Linked DNA regions of Lytechinus pictus. The protein of the gene in region 1 purifies or fractionates together with the protein of each later gene. This does not show direct contact. Links are inferred from orthologs where the notes say so. Each region holds a gene or a part of one and is shown on either strand. Other genes may lie near its edges.

What was found.
Region 2: the proteins of RNA-binding protein with serine-rich domain 1-like (region 1) and putative RNA-binding protein Luc7-like 2 purify together in Homo sapiens (affinity purification with mass spectrometry; 3 studies listed by BioGRID and IntAct, counting the BioPlex papers as one, with this or other methods). This does not show direct contact. The link is inferred for Lytechinus pictus from reciprocal best matches to the Homo sapiens genes RNPS1 and LUC7L.
Region 3: the proteins of RNA-binding protein with serine-rich domain 1-like (region 1) and NF-kappa-B inhibitor-like protein 1 purify together in Homo sapiens (co-immunoprecipitation; 3 studies listed by BioGRID and IntAct, with this or other methods). This does not show direct contact. The link is inferred for Lytechinus pictus from reciprocal best matches to the Homo sapiens genes RNPS1 and NFKBIL1.
Region 4: the proteins of RNA-binding protein with serine-rich domain 1-like (region 1) and regulator of nonsense transcripts 2-like purify together in Homo sapiens (co-immunoprecipitation; 5 studies listed by BioGRID and IntAct, with this or other methods). This does not show direct contact. The link is inferred for Lytechinus pictus from reciprocal best matches to the Homo sapiens genes RNPS1 and UPF2.

The regions. Positions count from the first base shown.
Region 1 is NC_087254.1:22,810,668-22,817,615, forward strand, and holds the start of RNA-binding protein with serine-rich domain 1-like, read left to right. Parts: upstream 1-3,928; 5' UTR 3,929-4,013; coding exon 4,014-4,015; intron 4,016-6,948. Other genes in the region: WW domain-binding protein 11-like, read right to left, coding at 411-442, 1,299-1,362. UniProt on the Homo sapiens protein: Part of pre- and post-splicing multiprotein mRNP complexes. Auxiliary component of the splicing-dependent multiprotein exon junction complex (EJC) deposited at splice junction on mRNAs.
Region 2 is NC_087254.1:29,257,592-29,264,678, forward strand, and holds the start of putative RNA-binding protein Luc7-like 2, read left to right. Parts: upstream 1-4,071; 5' UTR 4,072-4,217; coding exon 4,218-4,278; intron 4,279-7,087. UniProt on the Homo sapiens protein: May bind to RNA via its Arg/Ser-rich domain.
Region 3 is NC_087259.1:27,514,668-27,521,806, forward strand, and holds the start of NF-kappa-B inhibitor-like protein 1, read left to right. Parts: upstream 1-4,118; 5' UTR 4,119-4,306; coding exon 4,307-4,586; intron 4,587-7,139. UniProt on the Homo sapiens protein: Involved in the regulation of innate immune response. Acts as negative regulator of Toll-like receptor and interferon-regulatory factor (IRF) signaling pathways.
Region 4 is NC_087247.1:9,488,359-9,495,625, reverse strand, and holds the start of regulator of nonsense transcripts 2-like, read left to right. Parts: upstream 1-4,263; 5' UTR 4,264-4,647; intron 4,648-7,267. Other genes in the region: protein MCM10 homolog, read right to left, coding at 317-499, 1,570-1,764, 3,323-3,554. UniProt on the Homo sapiens protein: Involved in nonsense-mediated decay (NMD) of mRNAs containing premature stop codons by associating with the nuclear exon junction complex (EJC).

The DNA.
Region 1 (6,948 bases):
GGTTTAAAGTTTTGACACAGTGAGGGTGAACTTCACAGGTTTCTATGGAATATTATCAGTAGCTCTAAGAACATATCAATTCATGCCATGAGTCAGTCTCTTCTAATTTATATTTGAAATCTGATATGCTTTACAACATGAAATATTTAAATTTGAATGATTTATTATTAATTCATGGAAACACTTGTCCCATACATGAACATGTACAGAAGTCAGAACAAAATGAAAGACTTTGTAATCACTTACACAGTATGTGACAATGTGTAGTCAGAGACACACTGAGGTGTAAGTGATCAAAACGACTTGTTTTAGTTTTATATCAATATAATTTATCCAGTCAAGAAGGAGGCAAGGGGAGGAAACCATGAGACCCCATATTTACTAAACTACAAGGTTATTAAAGTACTTGCCTTCTTTAATTCCCTCTTTCTTGCTTCCTTCCCTGTGAAAATAAAATATACAATTGTAAAATAAATGTTTAATTGTCCTCTAAAGTCTTTATTTTAAAGGGCTAATGCTAACATCAAGATTTAACAGAAATCCATCCAATCCAAGCCAGCTCCATGTCCCAAGAATTACAGAACATGCCCTAAATTCATGAGAGGTTAAAGCCAAAATTAGGTTTTGAAGCTGTATTTCAGCTTCAATCTCATCATCATTGTGCAAATTCTCAGTCAGACATTGCTTCGCCATAATTTTTATTTAAACTGAAGTTAGCGACCAAAATCATGCAAACATGCGGCAAATAAACAGGTGTGCTGCCGCAGACAAATCTTTTGGTCACTAACTTCAATCCATGTCAAAATTACGGCAAAGCCAAGTAGACCTACTAAAAAAAAAAAGATAACGTCGAGATTGGAGCCGAAATACAGCCTTTCCCGATCGCGATATCTCAGACTCAGGACAAGGTCACAAGCTGGACAAGCGGTGGACATATTTTTATTGACTTCGTCTTCGGAATCGGATGTGACCGAGTCTGACTCTGAGAGTGAGAGACTTGCCATCAATCATCATATTTGCAAACAATTCTGGTCATGCTGGTGGGGAATTAGCTCGAAGTCGGCCGGTGCAAAACTGCATTAGCACCACTGGCATTGCCATTTGCATTAGCATCTCGATTTCGATTGGCATTGCCAATGGCAAATGGCATTGGTTCTATCATTGATACCGCCAGGCATAACAATGCATATTTATCTGCGTGTGGGACCAGGCCTTAATAAAAATAGATTGTCCCAATCCATCCCGAAGCACTCACGCATTCTCATTTCTTCAGCATGATTTACACAAAATTTACTTACTTGCTTGATCAGTAGGATTCATATACTTCCCACTTTTCGTGGTATTGATCGATCGTCTCCCCATTTTGGCAGAATTTTAATAGGAATTCTCCTCACGATCACAAAATCCACGGGCACGGTTAAAGCAAATGTACAATTATTGTATCTCTATCGATGAGGGCGCGAACACCGATGATGATCTCCCCGCGATTTACCCCCACAAAAAGCAATCCTACAGATCGAGGAGGAATTACTGGGAATTACTCGGATATAAATATATAATGATAATATATTCCAACATTTCCAAGAATTTAAAATTTCTGTGATTTTAAATATGTTTTCAGATTCATTTGAAGGAGTCTAGACCGACCAAATTAGGCAACAAGTTTTTCATGGCCCTCAAGGGCGGAAATCTCTCCCGGAAGGTATAGGGGACCAGGGGCTGGAAAATTTGACAATTAAGCAAAAAAAAATTAAAAAAAGTTTATCACCCCAAATGTAAGGTCACTTCGACCAAAATAAATTTTACAAGCAAAAAAAAAAAAAAAGAAAAGAAGGTTATCACCCAAAAAGTAAGGTCATCTCGTCCAAAATACATGTTTTATTTCAATTTTGAATTATGTATTTCTTTCCATCATACAAAAAAAGTAGGGGGATCAACATTTTGATATTTCGAGGCCTCCATCACTTTCAAGCTCCAAGCTTAAGATGGAGGTCTCCCACATTTCTATATATATATGTTCAGTAATTAAAGAAAATGTATATATATAGATATAATTTCACAGTCCAGTTGATATTTTATAATGATTTATGTGCATTATTCATTATGTTTAAAAAAATATTTGCCTATTATGTAATATTGAAAAAAAAATATTATACTTGTATATTTTTTGTTTTTGTTTTGAAATGTGGAAATAAAATAAATCAAATCAAATCAAATATTGTGTCCCCATACTATTTTGGGTAGGGAGGACGCGTCCCCCTGTCCCCCCTGGGATTTCCGCCCATGATGGCCCTGCGAAGCGGGGATGCTAAAGTTCAGCACCTCCTAGCTGAATTCTGGAAGATGTAGCGAATTTGGAAATGTAAGGAAAATGACTTTTTTCTAGGGACCAAAACGACCTTCATTTTGTAATGAAACTTTTTTTTTTGCTCGTCAAATTTACTTCAGCACCCCAGCAAAGGACCCTGAAAAGCTTCTAATGGAATGCTCCATGTTCAAAATTTTGTTGCACAATTAACACATGGCTTAATTTGTGATGCGACAATTAAGACAATCACAGAACTCTATGTCCACTCTCACAAAATAACAGATAAACATAGATAAATACATAAAGAAGAAGAAGAAGAAAGGAAGAAGAATTAAGAAGAAGAAAAAGAAGAAGAAGATCGAAGAATTGATTTGTCATACTACTTTTTGCGTTACGTTCTATCTTTATATACCTTGAAATTTATTTGTCACTGAATCTATAAAGTCGGCCTAAGATTTATTAAGAATTAGGCCTACTATTATCATTATTGTTATTATTATTAATATTACTTTCACCATCATCATCTTTATTATTATTATTTTCATCCCGGGATTTTCATCACCATTTTTATTGTTATCATCATTATCTAATATTAGTTTGTTCTTGTTAATTGTTGTTGTTATTCATCACTATTAGTGAGAGGTTTTCCTCTGTTCTTTGTTGAAACCGTAATCAATGATGTATTTACATACAGGCTTATATGTTCTCAGGCCTATTTCCCTGTATGCAACTTATTACTTTTTCCCGCATTTTTTTTTTACTGAAATGGAGTCATCTCGGTGTAGTCAAGAGAAAATCAATCCGATAAATCTGGACAGACCGGGGGCCGCGAAACGAGGGAGGAGGGGGCTGGGTTGGCTTTAGCCCCCACTTTTTTTTCCAAAACCGTGTACAAAAACATAAAAATTACCGTCGCATTGTTATTTTTGCATGGTCCCCCCCCCACCCCCCCCCCTTTCACAGCCGTTCTGCCTTCCGCGACCTATAGCTAGTCTGCAGGCACAGACTAGACCTAGACCAAAAGCTTCGGTCTCCGTTATGTTGGTTGTTCAGCTGAACTCCGTTTTAGTTGGCTTCACTCACCAAATGTGTACGAGGAGAAATTAAAAAAATTAAAAATGTAAAAAACCTCCTCGAAACAGACGGCTGCCAGCTGTCTAGCACAGACCCTGATTGAAACTTTCAGTGTGTCTCTACGCAAAGACTAGCACATATAAAACTTGCTGTTGAGCGCGAGAGGGCCTTCAGTATATACACAAGGCATGAGTAGGTAGGCTGCAATTCAGACCCTTTACTCGAGTGAAGGGTTTGCACAGCAGACTATAGCATTTAGCCCACTGAACTAGAGATACGTATTTTTAGTTCAGTGATTTAGCCGCCGCGCCCCTCCAAATTAGTCTGCTATGCAGACTCTGAATGGCTCGTGAAGTGGGATCTGCAGCTGGTTTGCGAAGCAAACCAGCCTGAAAGGGCGAGCGAAGCGAGCCATTTCAGATCTGCAGGCTCTAGTAGACCTAGTCTGCTATGCAGACTCCTTGAATCAGCTGTGATACACACACTGCAGATGTGGGTCTACAATTGTAGACTACCTCCAAATCGCATCGATGATGAAAAAAAAAGGGGTCCTATAATTATACTGCTGCTAGAGGGCGCTCGTTCTGGCCAAAGAAAGTAGCGTTTGCTGCGTCCTTCGGTCCCAGTCAAGATGTAAGAACAATCGCTTTATTTCGAACACATCTTAATATTCTCGTCGTAATTTGAAAATTTATGAGTATGCTCGATATGTTATCTTAACATGCATTGTTAAATTTTTGTATATAATCAATATATTAGCGTGATGATCATCGTGTCAATTATGCGAATCCATTGACGATCGAAGTCATTTTAATGACTTTATTGTCAATGAGTGGGACTGTACGAAATGAAACTCGGTTTCTAATTACGGTTTTCTTGAGTAGATCTACCCTGAAATGAAATCTTATTGTAATGGTTGTACATGTAAAAACTGTCCTCATAAACAAGGACCCTCGCAGGTAATCCTAAATCCTGGGTATTTGTGTTTAGCCTTTTGCTTTAGGCCTAACCTAGAGTAGCTTGCCTTTTCTTTTTGACTTTTGAGTAAAAATTTTAGTTTTACTTTTTAGTTTTAAAATTAGCCTTGGCTTTGGCTGCCACATGTCACATCCTACCTCAGGCGATGTTCGTGCAGGCTCCACTTCACTACCGCTACACTACGCTCCACCTACCCGAACATCGGGACCGTGAACCATTTCGGATATACCGAGTCACAAAGGTCATGAACAGTAGAGGCGCACGGCCAATATTGGAGACTGTCTCCAATGTGGGAGATTATCTCCAATATCAGAGACTTTTGTAAAGAATTTGGGTATCCAATTTCAGAGACAGTCTCCAGTTTTGGAGTCCAATTTCCTTTGTTTACATTTGCTGCAAAAGGATTACCTTGGCGGCAAATGAAAATGTGATAAGCAGATTCCTCATGAAAAATTACCCCTTTTCACCGTCTACTTTAAAAATTCACCGTCTACTTTTGTTTTGATAAGGATTTTTGTTGTCAATCACACACAAAACAAATGGGCTTCTGATCTCAGTGAGACAAAATTTTGGGTGGAAAAAAATCATGCTTTTGTTGGTGTTGTTTCTTTTGTCCTTTTGCAAAGCAAGGCTCCAATGTGGGAGATTGTCTCCCCTATTGGAGAGAGTCTCCCATATTGGCCGTGCGCCTCTACTGATGAAGGTGGGATGGCAATCATGATAATCATAAAAATTAAACAAAAAAAATATAACGAAAAAGATGATTGACTTAATATCTTACTCTACACCCGTATTTCACTCCGTGTCCATCCTCCGGTTATCCTCAAAATTTGTGATTTTGGGCCAGTATCTTTCTCCTCACACGTATTATTCACGGCTGATTTCAAATCATCGCATGCGATCGCGATCGGTTTGACTTTTAGACATCCGAATTTGAAAATTCAAACAGTTTTGTGAATCGTAGATATTGAGCCTCATTGTGAGCATATCAAACATGCTGGAACAGCCTTTCCTAATTTTCACCTGAAGTGCCTAATTTAATACCTCATTCATTTTAATGGCCCCAGTAGTAACAAGAAAGTTATGGTAGTTTTAAGTTCGTACAAATCGCCCCTTCAATTCTTATGTATTCCTTTGTTTTTTAAAACAAAAGTTGTGACCTTAATTGGGGACCAAGGTGCACTAATACTAGAAAACAACATACATTGGCATATGGAAGTGCCCAACAACACTCCCCAAAATTACAGACGCCGCCGAAACAGGGACATAAAAAACACACTTAGCGTCAGTAGATCTCTTTCAAATTTCACCGCAATGGAGTTGAAATGTTGTTCTATCGGAATAAATACCTTTTAGAGTGGGATGATACCTGTAAATATAAATAGCAAGAGGTTGAAAGCAAGGCCAAATTTCCAGTAGCACACAGGGTCGCAAGATCACCGAGTGATATTTTTTCAAGTCTAGACAGCTGCCATAAACATTCAACTACGTAAAAACAATGATGTTATGGGGAATAACTTTCCTTGCACATGCAAACACAATACAAAGCAATGCCCCCACAGTCACCCTGCAATTATAGGCAGCACACTCAATGCTTCATTCACTTTTGTAACATACCTATACCAAGGCTCCACATTAACTTTTTTTGGTGGTGGCCCGTTCGGGCCACCAAAACCATCAAATAATTTTTTTTTGGTGGCCCGATATTAAAGTTTGGTGGCCCGAAAAATATAAAGAAACACATTAAAAATTGATAAAACAAACTTCTGAAATATTAATTCTGCAGCCACTACCACTAAGTTACTTCCACTTTATCATCTTGTATGTAAACCTTGTTTGCTGTTATTTTACTTTGCTAATTGGCTTGTGGTAAAATATAAATTGTTTCTATCATTGTAAAAATGAAATGATTGAAAGAGAATAAATGAATTTTATTGTTCCCAGGTTGTGTGGACTTTTTTTAAATCTCTGTATAGACACACACACTCATAATGGTAAAGTAAATAAATAGTGCATAGCAAACACAGATAGATGTACAAAACTATGGTTTTTCATTTCTTCCTCTTTGAATCCTAAAACCTAAATTATGCAGGCCCCAAATCCATTTTATTTCTGTTTTCCCTTTTGCAGTATATTATAGCAGGAGAAAATCACAGAAAAATATTCTGCAAAATTAGAACAATGCATAAAAGGGGGAAACAAATGAAAATAATTTTCAAAAAGTATATTACAAAAAGAAAAAGAAAAGAAAAGAAATAAGTGAAATAAAACAAAAGAAAGAAAAAACAAAGAACAGGGAAAAAAAGAAAAGAAAAAATTAGAGAGAAAAAAAAAAAGAAAGTGAAAGAAAAATGAATAAAACAAAATTAATATAAACATGGGAAAAAGGGGAAAATTAAGAAGCCATTACGAATATTTGTTAACAGCTGTGGCAACAGTCTATTCTGACTGGAATATAATTAAAAGCCAAGCAAATAATTTTCACTTACCTTCTGGGAATGGCATTTTATATCCTTTAGTTTGTATTATTTTATTTTCAGTAGAAACATATTTTTTAATCAGGCATATTCAATGGGAAGGGGTATAAA
Region 2 (7,087 bases), about 6.4 Mb from region 1:
TAATAATACAGAAAAAACAAGATCACCAGCAAAATTGTTCACCATATGGAGCTGATGTAATAGTGACAAAATTAAATCAGCAGTTATGAATTTAAAAACAAAACGATAATAGAAAATGACAAGTAAGTCTATTATCATCATCATCACCCTCATCATGCATCATCATTATCATCATCACAGGAGCCGCGGAACGGTTTTCAAAGGGGGGGGGGGCTGATCATGCAAAAAATCACAATCATATGGTCATTTTTACGTTTTTGAACATGGTTTTGGAAAAAAGTGGGGAGGCTGAAGCCCCCCCCCCCCCCCTCTTCCGCGGCCCCTGCATCATCATCATAAAAAAGATTAGATCTACTGTTATTAAAATTATCGTGATTATTGTTATTACATATATCTATTAGGTCTATCACCATCTTCCTCGTAAAAGGAAATATTGAACAATGATTTTATACTCTCTTTGAAGTTATTTCACAGAGATTAATTTTAGACGTGGGTTAATTAATTCGGCGCAGTGAAGTATGAATCACTATGTAGCGAATGGAAGCTAAATTGGTAAAATTGACAAAATTGACAAAATAACGTTTATCGATGTCTTCAGTTTTTTTAGGATCGTATGTTGCCTATTTAACAACTTTGATCAATGAACTTAAATTATAATTTTTCCAAATATGTTTATTGTCACACAAATAATTATTAAATTACATATCTTATATAATTATAAAGGTAACAAAGTTCTAAATGTAATTTTTTGAGTTGTTTTTGTCATATAATGAAACACTAGTCTTGACAATCTTCTCAAATCGCCCTTTCACGTAGCTAACACGTTCATTCATCAGCGCGCGCTTGCTGACGGTGAACAAACCTTGCGCTATTCTATCGACGTTTTATATCGTCGCGGAAAGGAGGAAAGCGCGGGGGTATGTAATAGTTGTCTACAACCAAGCAACCGAAAAACTAAGGAGAATATAGGATAATGGTTGAAGAATGTCATCAAGGCACTTCCCAATACAAAATGTGAGCCAAAAACTACACCATATTTTTGCTACCGAGAGTTTGGTTTCTATTTTTCCTGGCTATACGGGTAAGATCCCGGAATATAGACCGTCGATAAATCTCATATAGGCATTGTACTCCAGGCTGAATCATGATTTGAACAGATAAGGAAAATCAGACAAAAACAAAAAACAAACACTGGACATTTCATCACATCGATCGGGAAAAATATGAAATTGTAGGCCTATTCTTATTTGGGTGTAAATAAAACGGTTAATGCATATATGCATGAATACGGCAAGCTAATGGTGCCATTCCTTTGTTATATAAAGAGTATTCATTTCTTAAAACTTAATTTGTCCACCAAGAATGAAAAAAAAATGTATTGGTTCAAGAATATAGTAACTGCTGAAACTACCGGAATCGAGAACTAGGATAGATCTAATGTAATTATGTAAGTAAAGTGAAAGTGCATGGGGACCGTAATCATAACAATAATGCCTGAATATTGCATTATTATTCTTGACAGCGAGATCAATCGGCGTAATATGAATCAAGGATTTTTATCCCAAAAGGAGCTAAATCAACATTTTTTTATAGCGGTTCTAAGAATTAGACTGTAGCACGCAGAGGAGGGTCCAGGATTTTCCAAAAGGGGGCCCATTTTCCCCGAAGAAAGATTTGACAAGCCAAAAAAAAAAAAAGGTTTTTAACCGAAATTTAGGACATTTCGTCCACGAAAATGTTTGACAAAAAAAAAGGGTCTTCACTTTCAAAGGGGGGGGGGCACGTACACTCCTGTTTTAACGGTATTTTTACATTACAAATTTTAATTGTGCCTCTCAGGGGGGGGGGGGGGGCACGGGCCAGCTTTGCCCCCCCCCCCCTGGATCCGCCAGTGGCCCATGTATAGGCCTATCGAATCATTTAGCTATATGATCAGATTCAGATTCATTTATTGTTGATCCATGATAAAATACATAGAAATTTGGCCTCCACTGGCTGTACATACAAAATGATATAAAGTATATATAACAAACACAAACGACGTATACATTGGGCAAATTATATTGCAATACAACATAGTAGGGAGATGTCAAATAATTTACCCATTAAAGACAAAGAGTGAGAAACGGCTGAGAGTTAACTAAGAGATAGATGGAAGAGATCATGCAAGCAAGAAGAGAAAGAATTAGTTGGATAGAAACAAAAGTGGACACAGTGGAGAAGGAAAGTAAGCGAAGAAGATAGAGGGAAATCATAGCAGGGAGAGACAGAGAGAGAGAGAGAGGGAGAGAAAAAAGCTTAAACGGAATGATAATTAGGCAAAAATCGGGAAAGGTACGTCTGCCGGTGCAGGTGCATGAGCCCCTATTAGTGGTATCGTTTCACTTTTTATTTTTGAGTCTTTTTTAGATTAATAAAAAATTGTGCACACTGGTGATGTTTGAATGTTTTGATCGTTATACATGAATCAATGCATCAATTTTTATCCATTTATAATTACTCCTCATAATGGAACCTAAATATTTATACTTAATTTATTAAACCGAAACATAAAATTCAATCAAATACAAGAAAGTATCTGACGACATAATCAGTTCCCTTATTTCTCAACGCCCAACTTTAGTACTCAAGTTTAATTACAGATATTATTCGATTAAAGGACAAGTCCACCCCATATATTGTTTATTTGAATCAATACAGAAAAATCCAATAAGAAGAACGCTGAAAATTTCATCAAAATCGGATGAAAAATTAAAAAGTTACCTGTGACATTTTCAAATTTCGTTTATTGTTCCACAAAACAATTAGGCCTATTATGCACAACACAGTGACTTGCAAATGAGAAAGTCGATGAAGTCCAGCATCGTCTACTTCTTGTTTTATTGTTTGAAATTATTATACAGTATTCTAATTTTTACAGATTTGACAATATAAGGACCCATGGCAACTTGATTGAACCATTAATATTAGCCTTTGCGCGCTGATGCTGCAATATTGCACATTCGTATACAATTAAATTCAGCATGGGCGGAAATCCCAGGGGGGACGTGTCCCCCCTACTCAAAATAGTAGGGGGGACACAATATCAAATGCCCCCCTACTATTTGTGGTCTATGATGGTAAGAAATACATCATTCAAAATCGAAATAAACCATGTATTTTAGGACGAGATGACCTTACTTTTGGGATGATAAGGCCTTTTTTTTTTTTGCTTGTCAAACAAATTTTCCTGCCCCTTGTCCCCCCTACCTTTTGGGAAAGATTTCCGCCCCTAAAATTCAGCAATCGTAATCCCCCTCCCGTATAAGTATCAATGGTGCAATATGGAAATCTTGAATTAAAGAAAATAACATAATATATAATTATATCCCCCAAGATTATTAATTAAGTGTGCAAATAGTTAATAAACAATGGTAACAATTAATGATGATTATTTTTTTCAGTGATATGCTTGTGCAACCAGTCACTTTGATTTGCTAATAGTATGTTATATTGATTATCTTGTCAAATTCAGGGGCGGATCCATGATTTTCCAAAAGGGGCCGATTTTCCGATGAAAATTTGACAAGCAAAGAAAAAGGTTTTCACCTAAAATCGGAGGTCATTTCGTCCGCGGTATTTTGAAAAGCAAAAAAAAAAAAAAAAAAGAAGAGTCCTCACTTTCCAACTGGGCTCCCAAAGTGCTCAAATTAGGATAAGCTAGTAGGCCTAAATATCATAACCCGGGTTTCAACTGAATTGCAATATGGGCCTAAAACATATAGGAACATATAGGCCGGCCGGGGCGCGGCCGCAGTGTTGTTGCGGAATAAACCCGTAGCTTATTTTAATTCGATTACGCGTTAGCTAGGTTTTTATACAAATTAATTATTTAGGGAGGAATAATTCATGAAACAGGCCCTATTAGACCAAGGCCTATTCATGAATTTCCTGTCGAGCTCGGGGCCTGTCAAGATCGACCCCCTCCCCCCCCCCCGTGCTTTCGAACATGGACCTATGTTTCGAAGGAGACGGATATGGATCTGACACAAGGATTCGTAGCGCAATAAAAATAAACGATCGTGCGCGCGCGTTCATGCGGTATTTTAATGGAGAGCTTGGAGTTGGATTGATAATTCGTGAAAGATTTATTTTCCGAAGAAATACGAAATTCTGTTTAATAAGAATTAAAAAAACACAGTTGATAAATATTTTGTGGAGTATTTGTGGTCGTCAACATGTCGGCCCAAGAACAGATGCGGAAAATGCTCGATGAGCTGATGGGAACGTCCCGAAATGGTAAGATCTCAAACCTAGTAAAGTCGAACTCGAACTGCCCGAGTGGACTGCTAACGTAACGAGTAACGTTAGCTGCTGCTCGCGCTCGCAAGCTCGACGCGTCTACACTGTCACTGGTGGAAGTGGTACACAAGCACCGGGCAGGCCGATATCGGGGTGAGAAGACTGCCCGCGGCACGTCAGGTGTGTTGGGCCAAGCGCTAGCAGTAGCACTGTAGCAGGCGCAGCTCAAAACAGGTCATAAGAACCGCAATTTGTTATGGGATCTAAAAGGGGGCAAGCAAGCTAGCTGCGCGGACTGTCAAGTGTGCATAGCTATAAGCTAGCAATAGCAATTAGCATGCTTGCCCCCTTTTCGATCCCAGGCAATGAGGGCGGCATTGAGGCATAACGTTAACGCATTGGGTATACCAACGCATTGGCCATGGCATTGGCATTGCGGTTCTGCATGATTATACTATATTACCCAAAAATTAAGATTATAATAAATATTGCCTATTTTATTGGCGAATGATATTGATACATCAAATGAAAGTTCTTTGCATTAGAAATGCAGCAACAAAAAAATTAAGAAAATTCGACCATTCGTTAAGGAGTTATGGGTAATTAAAGATCAAATTTTTAAAACGCATTCTGCTGCAAGCCGCATAGTGTGATGCCTCAAAATTTTTTGCGATAAACAATTCATGTTTGAAAATTGCTCCATGTCATTCCAAGAATATTTTCCCCCAAGTCTTGCGCGACTTTTGAGTCCAAATTTACAATGCTCGGGTATGCGGTTTTAAAATTACGCAACATTTCGTAGTCCATGTCAGCCCCCAAAATGCAGAAATACGTGATTTAACCCTTTCCACGCGTACTTTGCACCAATGCACATTCGGTGCCGTGCGAACTTCGCATTTCACACTCAGCAAACAATGCATTGTTTCCCTCCCTGAAAATAATTCAGTACAGATGGGTTCATGGTCCAGCGCACAAAGAGTTAATTTTCAAAAGCGAAAAAATATGTAAGAAAACGTCTTTGGTATCCATTGTTTTTTAAGAAAAGTTGTTAGAAATGCCATGAAGCATATGTACAGCAAAAATTAGCACTCTACAAGCTGTAATTAATGAATTAAAACAGAATTTATGATTTTATGAATAAATTAGCATGTAATTAGCCCAGGGGGGGGGGGTACTCGACCAAAAAAGTGGTAGGTATGTGCCGCGGGCGAGACAAAAACCGGGGGCCTTGGAGCAGACTTATTGTAAAAAGGAGGGTCCTCGGAACAGGCTTCGGAACTACATGTACAATCAAATGTTTGTGAAAACGGGGGTCCTTGGAACGGTCGCCTGCGTGTGCATCCCTATGGAACGGGCATACGTGTATGCTGCTAGCCCAGCGGCACGGGCGCCAGGTGCACTCGCGCAGAGGCGATGGTCGGACAGGGCTCTGCGGCCGCTTTTCACCAAAATTGCAGCTCGTTGTGGCGGATCAATGTGACCGGAACGGCGTAACGAAAAATATGCGAAGCTTTGCCAGAGCGGATTTCTTCTTTTCTCTCGATAAGAAAAAAATGCTATGCTTCGGAGCGGCTTTCTTAGTTCTTTTTCTCAATAAGATGAAAATGCTATGCCCTGGCCTGAGTGTAAAAATGGGGTCCCCTCCGCGGCACATACCCACTATGCATTATATACTGAGTGCCCCCCCCTCCCCGGGGTAATTAGTTCATATAAAATGAAGTATATACATGTAAATATATATATTCAGTGAAGTTTAGCTCAACAATCAAGTAGTTAATGTCATTTTTCTACCATCTTGTAAATTTTTGTTGCCATATCATGATCTTTGGCAGAGAAATGGGGAGGGGGGGGGAGTATATGCTAATTTATTCATGAGATTATGTTTTTGGCTGCTACTCCCAACACTCATAAATTTGCAAGTTGCACTGTACATGTATCTCTATGACTCCAGCAATGCTGAATGATGTGTGGATATGCTGTGTGCGCATGTGTCATATGATTCACGAGAGTGGCTGAATTGCTGTATGAAGTGGGGAGATCCAGGCTTATGAGGGGAGAGCAAAAGATATGAAATGTGGTTGTGTTTATTGTGTATTACAAGCTGTGGAACTGTAAGCTTTTTTGTTCAAAGGCTGCAGTATTTGAAAAGAGATATACCCCTTCCATCCCTGATGTAACCCATTTGCTATCAAAAAATATAAATTTGAAGAGGGGGCTAAATAATACCCCCTTTGTCTCCTTTGGCTTCACACCCGATGATTGCACATGACTTGTTTTGTATTTATGCATGCACACACACACGCCACGTGTAGATTACATGTACATGTTCTACCGGCCGTGACCACTGCACTTATGGGCAGCCAAAAGGGCCAAAATTAACAATCTCAAAAATAAAGAACTCTCCTAAATAAATGTAGTATCTCAGAAATATTTCATTTCATATATTGGTTTCTGCAACACTTTTTCATAAACACATTAACAAAGAAAATGCAATAATAATATACATATAACTGACAAGCAGAACATTGAACAAAATTGCATTTTCTATTAAAACATATCGGTTTTTAGAAGGTTGCAGGGGTTGCCACTATAAGCTAAGCTTGACTGCGTGGCAACCCCAGTAACATTCAGAAATGAATACATTACTTTGGACGACTATGTAGTATATAAGTCAGAAATAAAAGTATTTAACCAGAAATTGATATAATTGAGAAATAAATTGTTTATCTCAAAATTTATGGATATTTTTTTGTCTGGACATGTTTTAAAGTGTTTTGGGGTGTTATTATTGTTAAAGGACAAGTCC
Region 3 (7,139 bases), on another chromosome or scaffold:
CCTATGAATTTTATTTTTTTAAATAGCTACTTTGCTATTCTTTTATATCTGTAAACTCACACTAGCACAAAGAAATGCATTGAAAATGCCTATTTTCTATGCAATGACCCATTTTAATGTGTTACTCATACATGTTATATTCACTATATGGATGTCTACCTATCCTACCTGCATATAGCCCAATGAGTGAATGCAATGACAATATATATAGGCCCCTATTCTCCTTGTAATATAAAGGTGTATGTAAATTTTGTGTAGATATCAGAATACCAGAACTGCCCCAAACATAATTACCAGATATACATGAGATTGAACGAGGAAACAATAAAAGAATGAGAACATATTACTTTAGTACATTTGGACTTGACCTATTATATCAAAATCTTCCTAGGGCTATTGCCTATCAGATGTAAGAAGGAAGAGATACATAAATAGATAGAAAAAGAGACAGAGAGAGAAAAAAAGAAAGAAAGATAATTTGATAGATAGCATGGCTTATAAAGAGGGGGGACTAGACTAAGATTGGAGCACACCGTCAGCCACCCCCCCCCCCCCTCCCTCCTTAGTTGAGCACTATTAGATACCTTACCTTACTCTGTGCCTTTTTCTAAATACCTTCTTGAAGGTACCACTCTAGTTCTCTTCAGTAAAGTTCACAAAGTTCTATTTCCTCTCTACCCCATTCCAAAGAACAATTTTAACATGAGCAATTTGTAAAGGTCTTTCTAACATTAAGTAGGTGATCATACACTAGCACAAACCAATGATGAATCAAAACATAAAGAGGCCTATAGACTCTCATTGACCAGTCTATATGCATTCCTAGGCTTACATACACATACCTACTAACTTTACCTGATATATAGCCTTGCTAAGCCATTAAATCCATTTTTTGCACCACTTGATGACTAAACATATTGATATCAGTTAGAAATTGTTTGCTACTGAGGAGTTTGGGCAGGTATTCCATCCACTATAGGGAACTCGCCTGTATTACATATAGGTCTCACGCGCGTAAAACATTCCCCATAGACTTGTGTGTTAAAATGACACTTAAGAAAAATTCATAAAAAATAAATGTGAAATTAGAGGGTCGAATGTTTACTAATTTTGGATAGGATATATATCTGACATTCCATATCTGACCAGAGAAGGGTATCGTAGCCAGCTCATTTTAAAAATAAATCGTCATTTATGAAGTTAACTATGATGGGATCAAATTCATCAACTGAAACAGTAAAATAGCCCCAATTCTTCCGCCAGTCAAAAAATTGTTCCAAATCATTGATATATCTTCCCAATTTGGGCAAAGGAATTTCAGTAGTTACCATTTCTAGAATCAGTGTTAGATTTTGAATCATATTCATACACTTTTGTCAATCAGCACTATCAAATTTAAAAAATTCGAATGGGTTGGGTCGAATGAATATCTTTAGCCGTCCTGATGTAATTAGGCTCATGGCACCAGTACTCTTGCCGCAGGTTTAGTCAAATTCAGATTGTTAGTCTGATTCAAAGCCCCCAAAACAGAGTAAGCCCTTATCATATGGTTGTCAGTCTGCCGAATCGACGCCAATAAGACATCAACCGCCTACACAATGTACGCGAGGCCAGTCGTTCTCTCTTTTTATCCCACACCCTGAGCTTGAGAATTTCAATCTCGATATCATAAGGAGTGCATTTTGATAACACAATGCGTCGAGAATTCAAGCTCTATATGAAAAAATTATTTGTAATTTTTTAATGAGACAATTCCTCAGCAATGGGATTAAGAACGGCTTCTCAGTGACAGCATGCAATATTTAAAGGCTTGAAACAGATTTCTGGCTTCGCTAGGCTACGAAAAAAAGAAATCTGTTTTGAAGACTTAAAATCATGCTACGAATCTTGGACTTGTATTTTTCAATATCTAGGCCATGGTAGAAAGCAAATGGGCAACAATAGTTTTAGAATATTTCTTTCACTTTTCAGTCGCCTTGGACTTGTATGGTCAACAATCAAAATCTTTTTTACCTTTCAATGTATATTGTTGAAACGCCAAATAATAAAATTACAATATGCAAATCAAAATGTTACTTTGTAGTCGTCTTTCAATTAGGTGAATTTTCTATCTTGGTAGAACTAGTGAGCAGTGAGTCAACCTCCCAAACATGAATGTCAGTTACTTCCACGTGAGGGAGCGCAGCGACCGAGCAAAAATATGAATTGTGCTACTTGGCATTTTTAAACTACAGGGGCCGCGGAACGGTTTTCAAAGTGGGGGGGCTGACCATGCAAAAAATCACAATCATATGGTCGATTTTATGTTTTTGTACACGGTTTTTGAAAAAAGTGAAGCCTCCCAGGGGTACAATTTTACAAGAAAAGGGGGCCACAACTTTTCTAACAAGCAAACGAAATTGTCCTCAAAGGGGGGATGTATCCGCCCCTAAAAAGGACGCTCGAACTTAGGGGTCTATGATGTAGTGGGCGAGTTTACACGAAGTCGGCTCCAATTCCTTAACAAAGTTGAAATTAATTTCGTAAGCCTATAGTCCTTGTGAACATCGGTCCGTATTTTGTCTTTGTTCGATGTGTATTCCCCCACCTAACCCTTTCTTGGATTTAAACGCCTTGAATACACTCCGTACCTTATTCAATTTCCAGAAATATAAATAATAAGCATTCTAAGCCCTGCATGCCCATACCCTATAGAGAAGTTCAAGAACTCTTTCCTGCAAAGAATATAATGACACATTTTCTGAATATTTTGTATTAGCAAACCGTTGCAAATGATAAATGTGATGGAAGTAAAAAATAATATTCGCTTTTTAACATCATAAGCATTTCATAATAGTATCATTAGTAACTGACTTCACCTAGTCTGCAGCACAGACCCTGATTGAAACTTTGATCAACAAGTGGATCTTCACAAAAGACAAAACTTGATGTTACGTGTCATTGTAGGCTGTGTATTCAGACCCTTCAACTCGAGTGAAGGCTTTGCACAGCATACTATTCCAGGCCCCCCCCCCCCACTATTTTCCAAAACCGTGTACAAAAACGTAAAAATGACCATATGATTGTGATTTTTAGCATGGTCAGCCCCCCACTTTGAAAACCGTTCCGCGGCTCCTGTATTCGCCATCTTGGGTAGGCCTACACTATTTACTTGTTCAATCAAACCCCGAAGATGTGTATGAGGAGTACTAATGGCAATATGATTATTTTATTTGTATTTTGTTGAAAATTATACATGTACAGTCCGACCTCTCTTATCCGGACACATTGGGACCAGCACCAATCCGGATAAGGGATTTATCCGGATCTGGGAGACCCAATATTAAATACACGCAAGCTGCGGCCTCGATCCCCGCAACGCGGCGGTAGCTAGCTACACGTTATCTATTGTTGTGGGCCGGGCGTACGGTACAGACATGTATTCACTGCAGTGTCAGTGCAAATTATAGGCGGTAATTTTTACGGAAATGAAATCGAACGATGGCCAAAACTGTTGGATAATTTACCTGCTAAAATGATTGAGGTATAAATCGAGCATACCTCGAAAGAGAGAGAATGAATGACTCGATGAAAGTAAGTTTTACAATTAGATCATCGCGGCCGCTATCGCAGCTTCGCAATGTCAGCCATTGTTATACTGACTGTAGGCTCAAACATGATAGATGGCGCTGAGCTGTCCGTATTAATATTGAGGCCGAGCATTAGCTAGCGAACATGTGTTGTTTTTCCCGGGGAAACAACAAGAGAACGTGATGAAATGTTTACACTGCACCCCGATTTACTGGAAAATTATCCTGCCTAAATTCTTTTGGTGATTTGGGTGAGATATTTTCATGAAAAATAATGTTGTTTTAGGTAGACTACACTGGAAAATATATTTAATCAAAGTGAGTTTGCGTATAGGATTGAGTTTAGATTGCAATCTCATTTCCTCACGTACTAATAAAATTGAATTGAAAAAAAATCTCGGCAAGTGTGCGTCCGGATAATAGAGAGATCCGGATAAGGGGAGGCCGGATAAGAGAGGTCGGACTGTATTATGAAAATGAAATATTAATGTCCGCCCTCTTAGTTAAAAAGATACCCAGTGCATTGCTCATCTTCAGCGAGATGCACGCACTGTATGTCGCGTTATGTCCACGGCTGCACACGCGCGAAAGGATTTTAGAGATTAGTCACAAATTTAAATTGCGAGGTAATTGTAAATTTGGCAATAGGTCGTCTGCTCTCAGTGAAGGCAAATCTGTTATTGCTTGCTGTTGAATACATTTGTTCTTTTTTCGAGCCGCTTTGGCTTAAGCTAGCCATGGGGAAATCTACAGAGGAGAAACTTCTGGACTACATCAGGGAAGGGGAAGTTTTAAAAGTGAAATCATACCTAAAGAAACATGCCCTTCTTGATCTAAATCAAATTCGACACCGGGATCAGCTCCATCGGACGCCGCTTCACATTGCCTGCGCTGCCGGGCACGAGAAGATTGTCCGGCTGCTGATGAGACTCGGGGCAAGCTCAGAAATTCAGGACTCCAAGGGGGATACCCCACTTCATCTGGCTCTAAGTCGTGTTCTGCATGGTGATGAATATGGTGAGTTTCAACATTGGATGGTTTGTTGGAATTAGTGACCTCTATTTAGCGGGGAATTAGATCTATAGCCTATACATCGCAAACTTGAGACCTATTTTCGTAACCAGCAAAGTTATTACTTATTTAGATATTTTGGTAATTCTTGGTTTATATTATAACATTTATGTAATTTTAGAAGTGTTTATTAAAAAGAAAGAGTAGTAGACAAGAAAATTACATTTTTCTTAATCGCGGTTGCTCCTAAGTGAACTTATTGTCACTTTGCCTAGCATGACTTTTCAGAGGTCCAACTTAACTGGGGACCAAATTAAAAGGTTTTTTTAGAGGAAAAAGAAAAATCAGACAAGAAGATAGGCAAAAGTTTGAACTATATCAGACAAACGATTAAAAAGATTTCTTTTATAGTTGTGCAAATTGGTATACTCTAAATTTCTTAGATGGAAGTAGATTGTGATCAGGAACAAATCCGAATTTTTATTAAAGTTTTTAATCTAATACATTTAGAATTCAATCTTATTCGATTGAAACTTGATCCAATTTTAGATTAGTCCCTGACCACACTCTATCAGATTGACTTTCAATCTACGGAATTTCAAATTGGCCAAATTGGTGATGTCATAGTGATGTAATTAAGGCAATCACTACTCTTTCTAATTCAATAATAAGATGACAAATTTATTTTTAAAAGTTTGACTTCAAATTATATTTTACATTCATGAAAACATAAAACAATATGCTACCTGTATTGTATTTTGATTACTGCCCCAAGGGAATAGATACTTAGAGGAAACCAAAAATCCCTGATATTAAGTGAAGGTATATGGAAAGTTGTCCCTACAACTTCTAATGATTTACTATATATGCCAAGTTAAAAAATTACATTGTAAAAACACCGAGTAATATTTTACCCAATTTTGGGTAAAAAGGGAACATGCATGTTTGCTGGTATTTTTCTACCCCACATCGGGCTATTTCAATGCAACATTGCGTAAAATTTACAAAATATTTGGTATCTTTTTACCCAACCAGCATTTTACCCAATATTGGGTAAACCTTTTTTTTTAGATAGTACATAATAGTCTTGGGGATCTCTCCCAACTCCCTGCTCAAACAGCCATAACGTTCTTATTTCTTGACAGATTTCGTTTAAAGGTCAAGTTCACCCCCGGAGAAATTTTGATTTGAATCAATAGAGAAAAGTCAAACAAATATAACGCTGAAAATTTCATCAAAATCGGATGAAAAATAAGAAAGTTATCAAAACTTTCTTATTTTACATCCGATTTTGATGAAATTCTTATTTTTCATCCGATTTTGATGACATTTTCAGCAATATCCTTGTTTGATTTTTATCTTTCGATTCAAATCAACATTTTTCTGGGTGGACTTGACCGTTAACACTTTACCTTTATCACCTTCTGTTTACTTGGATTTTACACAGACTCTATACGACATACGCTTCATAATGCGACAACAATATTAAGTCAATGTTATGCCCTATTGAATTATGATTCACCTAGCGAGATGAGAGAGAGAGAAGAAAAAATATAAATCTAGAAAGTTTGTTGTTGTTGTCTTTGATTTGGAGACAGGTACTTCTGCAATTGACTGATTTCGTTTAAAGGTCAAGTTCACCCCAGAAAAAATGTTGATTTGAATCAATATAGAAAAATCAAACAAATGTAACGCGGAAAAATTTACCCAATATCGGGTAAAATGGTCTGTATGAATGTATGATTTTGTGTTACATTTAATATGATAATAATTATGATACTTAATAAATTTGAAACAAGAAAATAAACAGACTAATATTATTCATAACAGTTAATTGAACCAAAAACCCTGACAGGAAATGAAAATTTAGCAATCTTCTTAAGACTATAATGCAAAAGTTAAACAAATCATTTACATACATGAACCAACTGTCATAAGCGAATTTAATTGTTGTTAATTTTTAATCGGCGTTTTTATATTGGTTTTTATAGATGACAATCCAAGTTTGACTTGAATCAAATGTAATTTGTGCAGCGTTTGTAATTGAAGAAACATTAGATGCGAAAATAATTATAACATTGATGAACAGTTTTTGCATTGCGCATATCACATTTTGATCATGTTGATATAACGTCTCCGTGCGCTTCCAAAGCACTAATTCTTACATTACTTTGTGGGTAAATTGTTTGTATGTTATTTTGTGGGCGTATTTGTAAGTTTAGGGGTTACATTTTGGGGTCTAACAGGGGTCTATAAAGCGCCTTTTAAATATCATGTATTATTATTAATCATTTGAGAGTGTATAAAACAGGTCTTTCTCGTCATGGGTTGTTCTGTATCACTTCTCAATCTCCCGAAAGGAGCATGACTATTCTTGGCGGGAAACGCTCCTTCATGTTGCCCCATCATAGCGCATGTGGCTGGTAACATACATCTAACACCATCAAGTGGGACTAAGCATTCTAAGAGGGGGAAATTCCTAATATCCTTACCCAGCTAGACGGTTTATACATGGGATTGCAAGGGGATACATCTGATTTGTGGATGTATCCGGCCCGA
Region 4 (7,267 bases), on another chromosome or scaffold:
GATCAATATATTTTCATTGTCAATATTATACATAAAAGTGATAAGGTATAAGATAAACTGAATACTGATGAGACTTCATTAAAAAAAAAAAATTTGAGACACTTTAGCAGTATTAGCCAGTATATAATAAGGCATCTGAAGAACTGTGACATGCATACTTCTGGTTATAAACTAATCATGAAAAGCTGCTGAACTTTTGACATATTTGAATATCATACAAGAGATATGCTATTAACTTTAACTTTTCTGAGTTTTAGTTAAGAAAATAACAGACTAGACTAAGTTTGGATACAAGGTTGGTTAATGAAATACAAACCTTTCTTAGGAGGAGCTGTTGCAGTCTGAGGGGTGTGAGCATGACGTTTATTGGTCTTCTTGAAGAGGGACTCGGCCTTTTGTGGCGTCACTTTGCGGACATCTTTCTTCTCTTCATCTTCAACCTCCATCTCATCATCAAACAAGTCTGACAGTCCGTCTTCGTTATCAAAATCTTCATAATCTACAAAAAAGAAGAAGAAATATTGATGAAGATAATTATATGAGCATCTGATATACAACTGTTCACTAAATCATTTATTCTCCATCAAGTTCCACTATAGAAAAGCAGATTGTTAATCTGGAACAGTTCGTTTGAAAGTCCTTTTAAACAAATTGCAATTACCAGTATACAGTGCGTCCCAGAAAAAAGGAAACCGGGTTTCCAACATCTTTTTTCTTCAAAGGCAAATTAATTATGATATTTCATTTACATCATCATACAATTCAATTATTCCGCTACATATTAATACCTACTATGTGACAAACACTCCATGCAGTAATGAGCAAGACGAGTTTGAAATTTTAATGCCAAAATCAAGTTGCGCAGAAAGTTTGGACAAGATTGGTTCATGATACGACACGGTGCTTATTCAACGATTGGCTAATTAGCATTTCTTTTGTATTCTTTGTTCAGTTTCTCTGACTGATCCCTGAAATAAGAGTGGATTCAGATTAACTCGTGAGTTTCTGCACAAATCGTTTCTGATAGGCCTCAATATTTATTGTTTGTAATCTAACATGCATGAATGATGTGCCAAGCTGTGGGTCTTACATTAAAGATGAGATTCCACTCTTAACATAAGTATCAAATTCATAGTAAACTAAAAACATGTTTAATAATTGTGAAATCTATCTCTGAAAACAGGTTTCCTTTTTTGCGAGACGCACTGTACAATTTGTTTTCATAGGCAGAAAACAATTTAAGAATGGCAAAGATAGAAAAAGAGATCATCAACCAATCAAAATCAAGTTTTCCATGGTAGTTACTATTAAGGCAAAATTACTATAATTAAGCTCTTTCTGAAGTGGGCCCAAAAGAAATTTTCATGGACAAAGTATGATAAACCAATGTGCTGGTGGCTGGTAAACTACCAAGGGTTAAACTTGCAGTTCTGTAGACTACATAACACACCTAATCCACACTTCTAAGTATTTTACTGCACTTAATAAAGTTTGCAACCTGAACTCATTAATTAAGTGGAAACTGAAATGACTGCAGAAAAAACTGAGGCACTGCTACATGAGACTTACTTATATTGTGAGATTCCTTCTTGGCTGGAATCGAAGAATCTTTCTTTTGCTTTCGCTTTGGTGTTCGGTCAGCAAAGAGTGCATTTGAAAAGGTTTCTTTTTTAGGACAAGGCTTGGTTGGACAGCTACTCTGTGATGAAGTGGGGGTACCTCCGTTCATCTGAACCATCTGCTCTCGCAACCTTTGCAGTTCCTCTGTAGAGTAAATCAACAGGCGCAAAGAATTATACCATGCCATGATGTTAAAGGAGAGAGACAGAGAGAGTGGAAAGTTTCAGCAACATGTATCAGCAAAGTTTCAAATACCAACTCTACAGAAAGTCAGAAATACTATTTAAAAAAAAAATAAACAATCATGCATATAAAAATACAGATTTTCCCTCACAGAATGCAGGGACTCAGTTTTAAGGGGAGCGAGAGTGATCACTCGCTACCACTCGCCTCCATCCATTTCAGGTAGCGCGATTTATCGCTCGCCTAAGCGAAATGTATTTTTGTGACATAAAATTATAAATGCAGTAAAACTAGAAATCAAGCAAAATCACACATGTACACTTTGTATTATGTATACAACATTTTACTTCCATGTATAATCTCTATTCTGACATCACTTAACCTGAATGTAGAACGAGTGTCAGTCAATGATTGAACTGTTAGTGCCAACCTTATTCTCAGTCAAGGTTTTACAAATAAGACACAATTACACAAGTATATTTAAGCAATAACACACACTTGAAATGAGATAAATATTGTATATATATTAATATGCTTTTCACACTGCACTTTTTTCCTTGACCCTGGGAAATTGGTGGGGCTAAGGGGGGGTCTTAGCCCCACCAATTTCCTGGGGTTAAGCTTAGCCCACTTCGTTTTCACACTACGTTTTAGCAAAGTGGGCTAGCACGGTAAATAGTATGGTACTATCTGGCCCTGCAAAAAAGCAGGATTAGCCGGCTTATTGTGGTGCTAGCACCACAATTGCGGTGCTAAGAGATGCAGTGTGAAAACAAAACAGGGCTAAGGAAAGTGGGGCTAAGCATTAGCCAATCACAGAAGTCGAATTGCACGTTAATCACGCTCTGTATGGTAAAATCATCAATATTCATGAGCTGAGGGATAGTCCGGGTTAAGGCATTAGCCCCGGCTAAGCAGATAGTATGGGGTTAAGAAAGACAGTGTGAATCGAAAAAAAGATAGTATGGGGTTAAGGATAGTATGGGATTAAGGAAATGCAGTGTGAAAAGCATATAAGGGCATCTGATTTTTTCTATCTCCTTTGGTTGTTGGTTGCAATTTAGTGTTCATTCCTCCATCCATTTTGTAATCGGACAAAACAGCTCCATTTGTATGTCAAAGAAGAGCTTTTTGCAGTGCTCCCCTTAAAAGTTTTAGGAGAGCTTTTTAATACTCCCCTCATAAGTGGGCGCGTCGTGGTCTAGTGGTTCTGACTCTCGCCTTTCAAACAGTGAGTTCGAATCCCAGCCATGGCGTGTTTTCTTTCAGCAAGAAATTTATCCACACTGTGCTGCACTCGACCCAGGTGAGGTAAATGGGTGCCGGCAGGAAGTAATTCCTCACAAAGCTGTGCGCACCAGAATCGGTAGACTAGATTGTCCGGGGAATATAGGAGCGCCTTGAGCACCTAGCAAGGTGGATACGTGCACTACACAAATCCTATATTATTTATATATTATTATAATTATAATCTCTTAGAATGCTTAAACATTAATAAAAAAAGAACAAGCAGGCCTACCTATCAACTCTTCTTTTGACTTTTCATCATCCCCACTGCTCTGACTGGATCCAACGGATCTTTTTTTCCTTTCATGACTGGTACCTTGCTTCTTGACTGCTTGTGACACTTGCTGCGAGTGTTCGCTCTTTACTGAGAAAGGATCACCGCTATCATATGGATCCGCATCATCTTCGTCATCAAGGAGTGAAGTGAGAGCATCAAGGTCGTCTCCATAATCCTCACCTGCCATTGCTATCAAAACATGTGATTGAGTTTTAAAAAATGTGTTATCTTGCAATGGCAATTGTACTGTCTTCCATCGGCATGCAAATTGAAATAGTCTCAAGTCGTAATGTCTTTAAGTTTACGTAGTGATAAAGATCAAAACGACTAGTTTAGTAGAATGGGGGTGGGGGTGAGGTGTCTGGACACTTTAAAACTTTAAAGCCTCCTTTTTTTGTCTTAATTTGTATTACTATTAGATCTAGGCCTAACTGTTAAAGATCTACAAAAAAATATATGAATTCAAATTTCCATGGCATGATTGATAGCTGATAGACTAGCTAGTTGCAATTTTCTTCAATTTTGTTCTCTAAGTCTAGCCTAAGTCTAAATAATATTGCTTAGATCTAACGTTAAGCCTGTTAAGTAACGTTAAGCATGTTATTGTTAAGTAACGTCCAACGAACATTCTTAAAAGTTAAATTCAAATCTTAACTAAATTTTGCTGAGTGAGATTTGTTGCCAACGTTGGCTTAAATTTAATTGCTTGATTAAATTATTTAACTTTAAGTTGATAACAATTTCCTAGGATCAACTTAATGATAAAAGTCATAGTTATGTATTAGTAGATCTACCTTGCTTTATAGTACTGCGGTGCGGCCAATGATTCGTTGAGCTTGATCAGTTTGTACCCGGGGTGAAATGACGACCCAGGACCATGTCAGGTGTACATGTATGTACTAATGTAGGACCGGACCGGGCCCGACAGGCGCGGCGCGATCGAGAGGAGGGAGCTCGCGTTGTCCCTCGCGCCCTGGCCTGAGTCTGAGACAAGTTCAACTGAACTTCAACTTAAGTCTTGTTATTACTTCCTCCTCCGCTCATGGGAGTACATCTGCATGTGGTAGTCTGCGATAATAATTTGAGAAATGACTTTGACTCTTTGAATTTGATACAGCAAGAAATTGTCAGTAGGGATTCCAGTCGCGGTAAATTTCAATCATCAAACAACAGAAACAACACAGTTTTGTTTTGCGCGCGCCGATCCAGCCGGCCGACCGGATGTGTGGAAAAGCCTTTTGACCTTTGGATTGATCGCTGATTCCGCCTCAACAATACTCGTAAGATCTGAAATTTGACTCCTTATAACTAATTTATATTATTGAAGGTACCCCAAAATAACTTTAATACCAATCCAATTCCGACTGACTTATATTTAGAGATTGTTGTAAATAATGGAAATACTCTGATAGAGTAAAGTTTAAATGTTTATTTGCCAGTGTAGTCCCGTGTATATCAATTTTTGTGTGGTTGGATGTGATTGCCTTCTCTGTCTCATTGACATTGCGTTTGTTGTGAAATGTTTTGTAAATGTTTTCTATTCCATTTTCATCCATTATGGTCAGAGATAACTTGCTGATTGCTGCAAGACTATAGATCTGCATGATTAAGCTGCCCATGCCATGGTTTACAGGTTAGGGTCTAATGAGTAATGTTGTTAGGAAGTTTGCATTTTGAAAAAATATTCATGACTTTTTAAAAACTTTATTATTAGCCTAAAAATTAGCTAAATTTTTTTAAAGATAAATGAAAGTAGTTGCAGTAAACACTGATTTCACGAAAAAGTCAGTAAAACCAGGCTTAATTGTCACTTTATCATCGAGGACCTAGATCTGGTACAGTTACATTAACTGAACTTTGTGAAATCTTGAAATCTACGCTGAAAAATGTTCACACTGAAGATCACCAACACAGATAATAAGTGCACGTGGGACAGTGTATTATTATTGCTTTGAATGTCGGCCCGACGCTTGACCCGAATCCCAAGCTTATTTGCTAATTTCTCAGCAATTATACAATTTCTTCCAGAATCCTTGGCTTTGGCACATATGTTTTATTTATACAAACAGACACTTTGGTGGTCGTTTCATTGGATTCTGTACGAACTCATTTTGAAATCGTTACCATAACTTAAGTCTTTTTTTTTTAAGGCTTTTAAGCTTGTTAGATTTCTGCAATTCCTTTGTTTCACAAATATTTTGCAAAGGGGCCCAGCCACCATAAATCTACCACTGGTAATACAGCACTGGGCGTTGTGGCGTGCGCCTGTAATCCAAGCTGTGGGGAAGTTACAAATTGATGCAGAGGTTCGAGGTTCGAGCCCTGGTCACGTCTTTCGGATGGTGACGTTAAAGGTCGGTCCCAGACGTAAATAATCATATCTGATTGATACACGTCTGACAAAACTCAAATACACACACACACACACACTGGTCCTATTTTCCCAGGACAGTGACTGCGTGGAATGCGCTTCCCAAAACCATCCGGGGGGGGGGGGGGGGGGTGGGGGTACTCGACCAAAAAAGTGGTAAGTATGTGCCGCGGTCGAAACAAAAAACGGGGGCCTTGGAGCGGGCTTATTGTAAAAAGGAGGGTCCTCGGAACGGGCTTCGGAGCAACAAATGTTTGTGAAAACGGGGGTCCTTGGAACGGGTCGCCTGCGTGTGAGTGCGTATGCATCTCTATGGAACGGGCATACGCGCATGCAGCTTGCCCAGCCACCGGGTGCGCTCTCGCAGAGGCGATGGTCGGAAAGCGCTCTGCGGCTGCTTTTCACCAAAATTGCAGCTCATTGTAGCAGATCAATGCGGCCGGAACGGCGTAACGAAAATTATGCGAAGCTTTGGAACGGATTTCTCTATTCTTTTTTTCTCGATAAGAAGAAAATGTTTTGCTTTGGAGCGGCTTTCTTTGTTCTTTTTCTCACTAAGATAAAAATGCTATGCCTTGGAACGGAAATTTGAGTGTAAAAATGGGGGTCCCCTCCGCGGCACATACCCAAACTCCACAGATATTTATTCAAAATTTTTACCTTAGATAAATTTGTGATATCTACTCTGCAATATGCAATAACTAATTTCACTCAAAAGTTCATAATTAAATTTAGAAAAGAAAAAAATAATAAAATCACTAGACAGCTCACCCCGCTACAAGCCTTGTCGTCATCAGTGTGTTTACTGTGGTTGCATGCACCAATTTGTATATGCACTATTGTCACCTATGAGGTCAATACTGTTATGTATTGACCTCATTGGTACTAGGAGTGATTAGGGCCTACTGTACATTGTATGGCTCTATGCCCAGCTGCCATTTAATCAGCTAGACCAAATGAATATTTAGTCAATTTTCTTGTTTTTTGCCAAAATTTACAGTTGTCAAGTCTATTTTCAACAGAATAAATGCTATTTCTATTTACAACTGAAAAAATTGATACAATTAATCATCAAACAGGGTGAGATTCGAACCCTTACCAGTCTGACAGTACAGCTTTAAGAGTTCTTACTTGACGCCTTTTACCACTCGACCAAGAGCAATCAATGGCAGAAAGAAGTGTTCTAAATGCATTATACCTCTTCTTTGTAGAACCTTGGACCTCTGCATCAAGTTGTAACTCTGCATCAAGTTGTAACTTCCTTGTGTAGCTTAGGTTAAGCTAAAGGCTCATGCCTGTGATGTAGATTGAGATAAATAGATCTGTACCCCTAGCTCACCATCTCTTTTGTCAGATTTATCACCCCACAGCCTACAGACTTGTTATCAAACTTGATATGAAGACAGTCCTAGAAAGTAAACAAAACAACTCTCATTTTATGGATGACACCTTGATGGGATGAGTTTTTAATCGTCTTATAAAATTGTAATCGATATTGGCCATGAATTACTGGTTGATTCTTGGAAGGC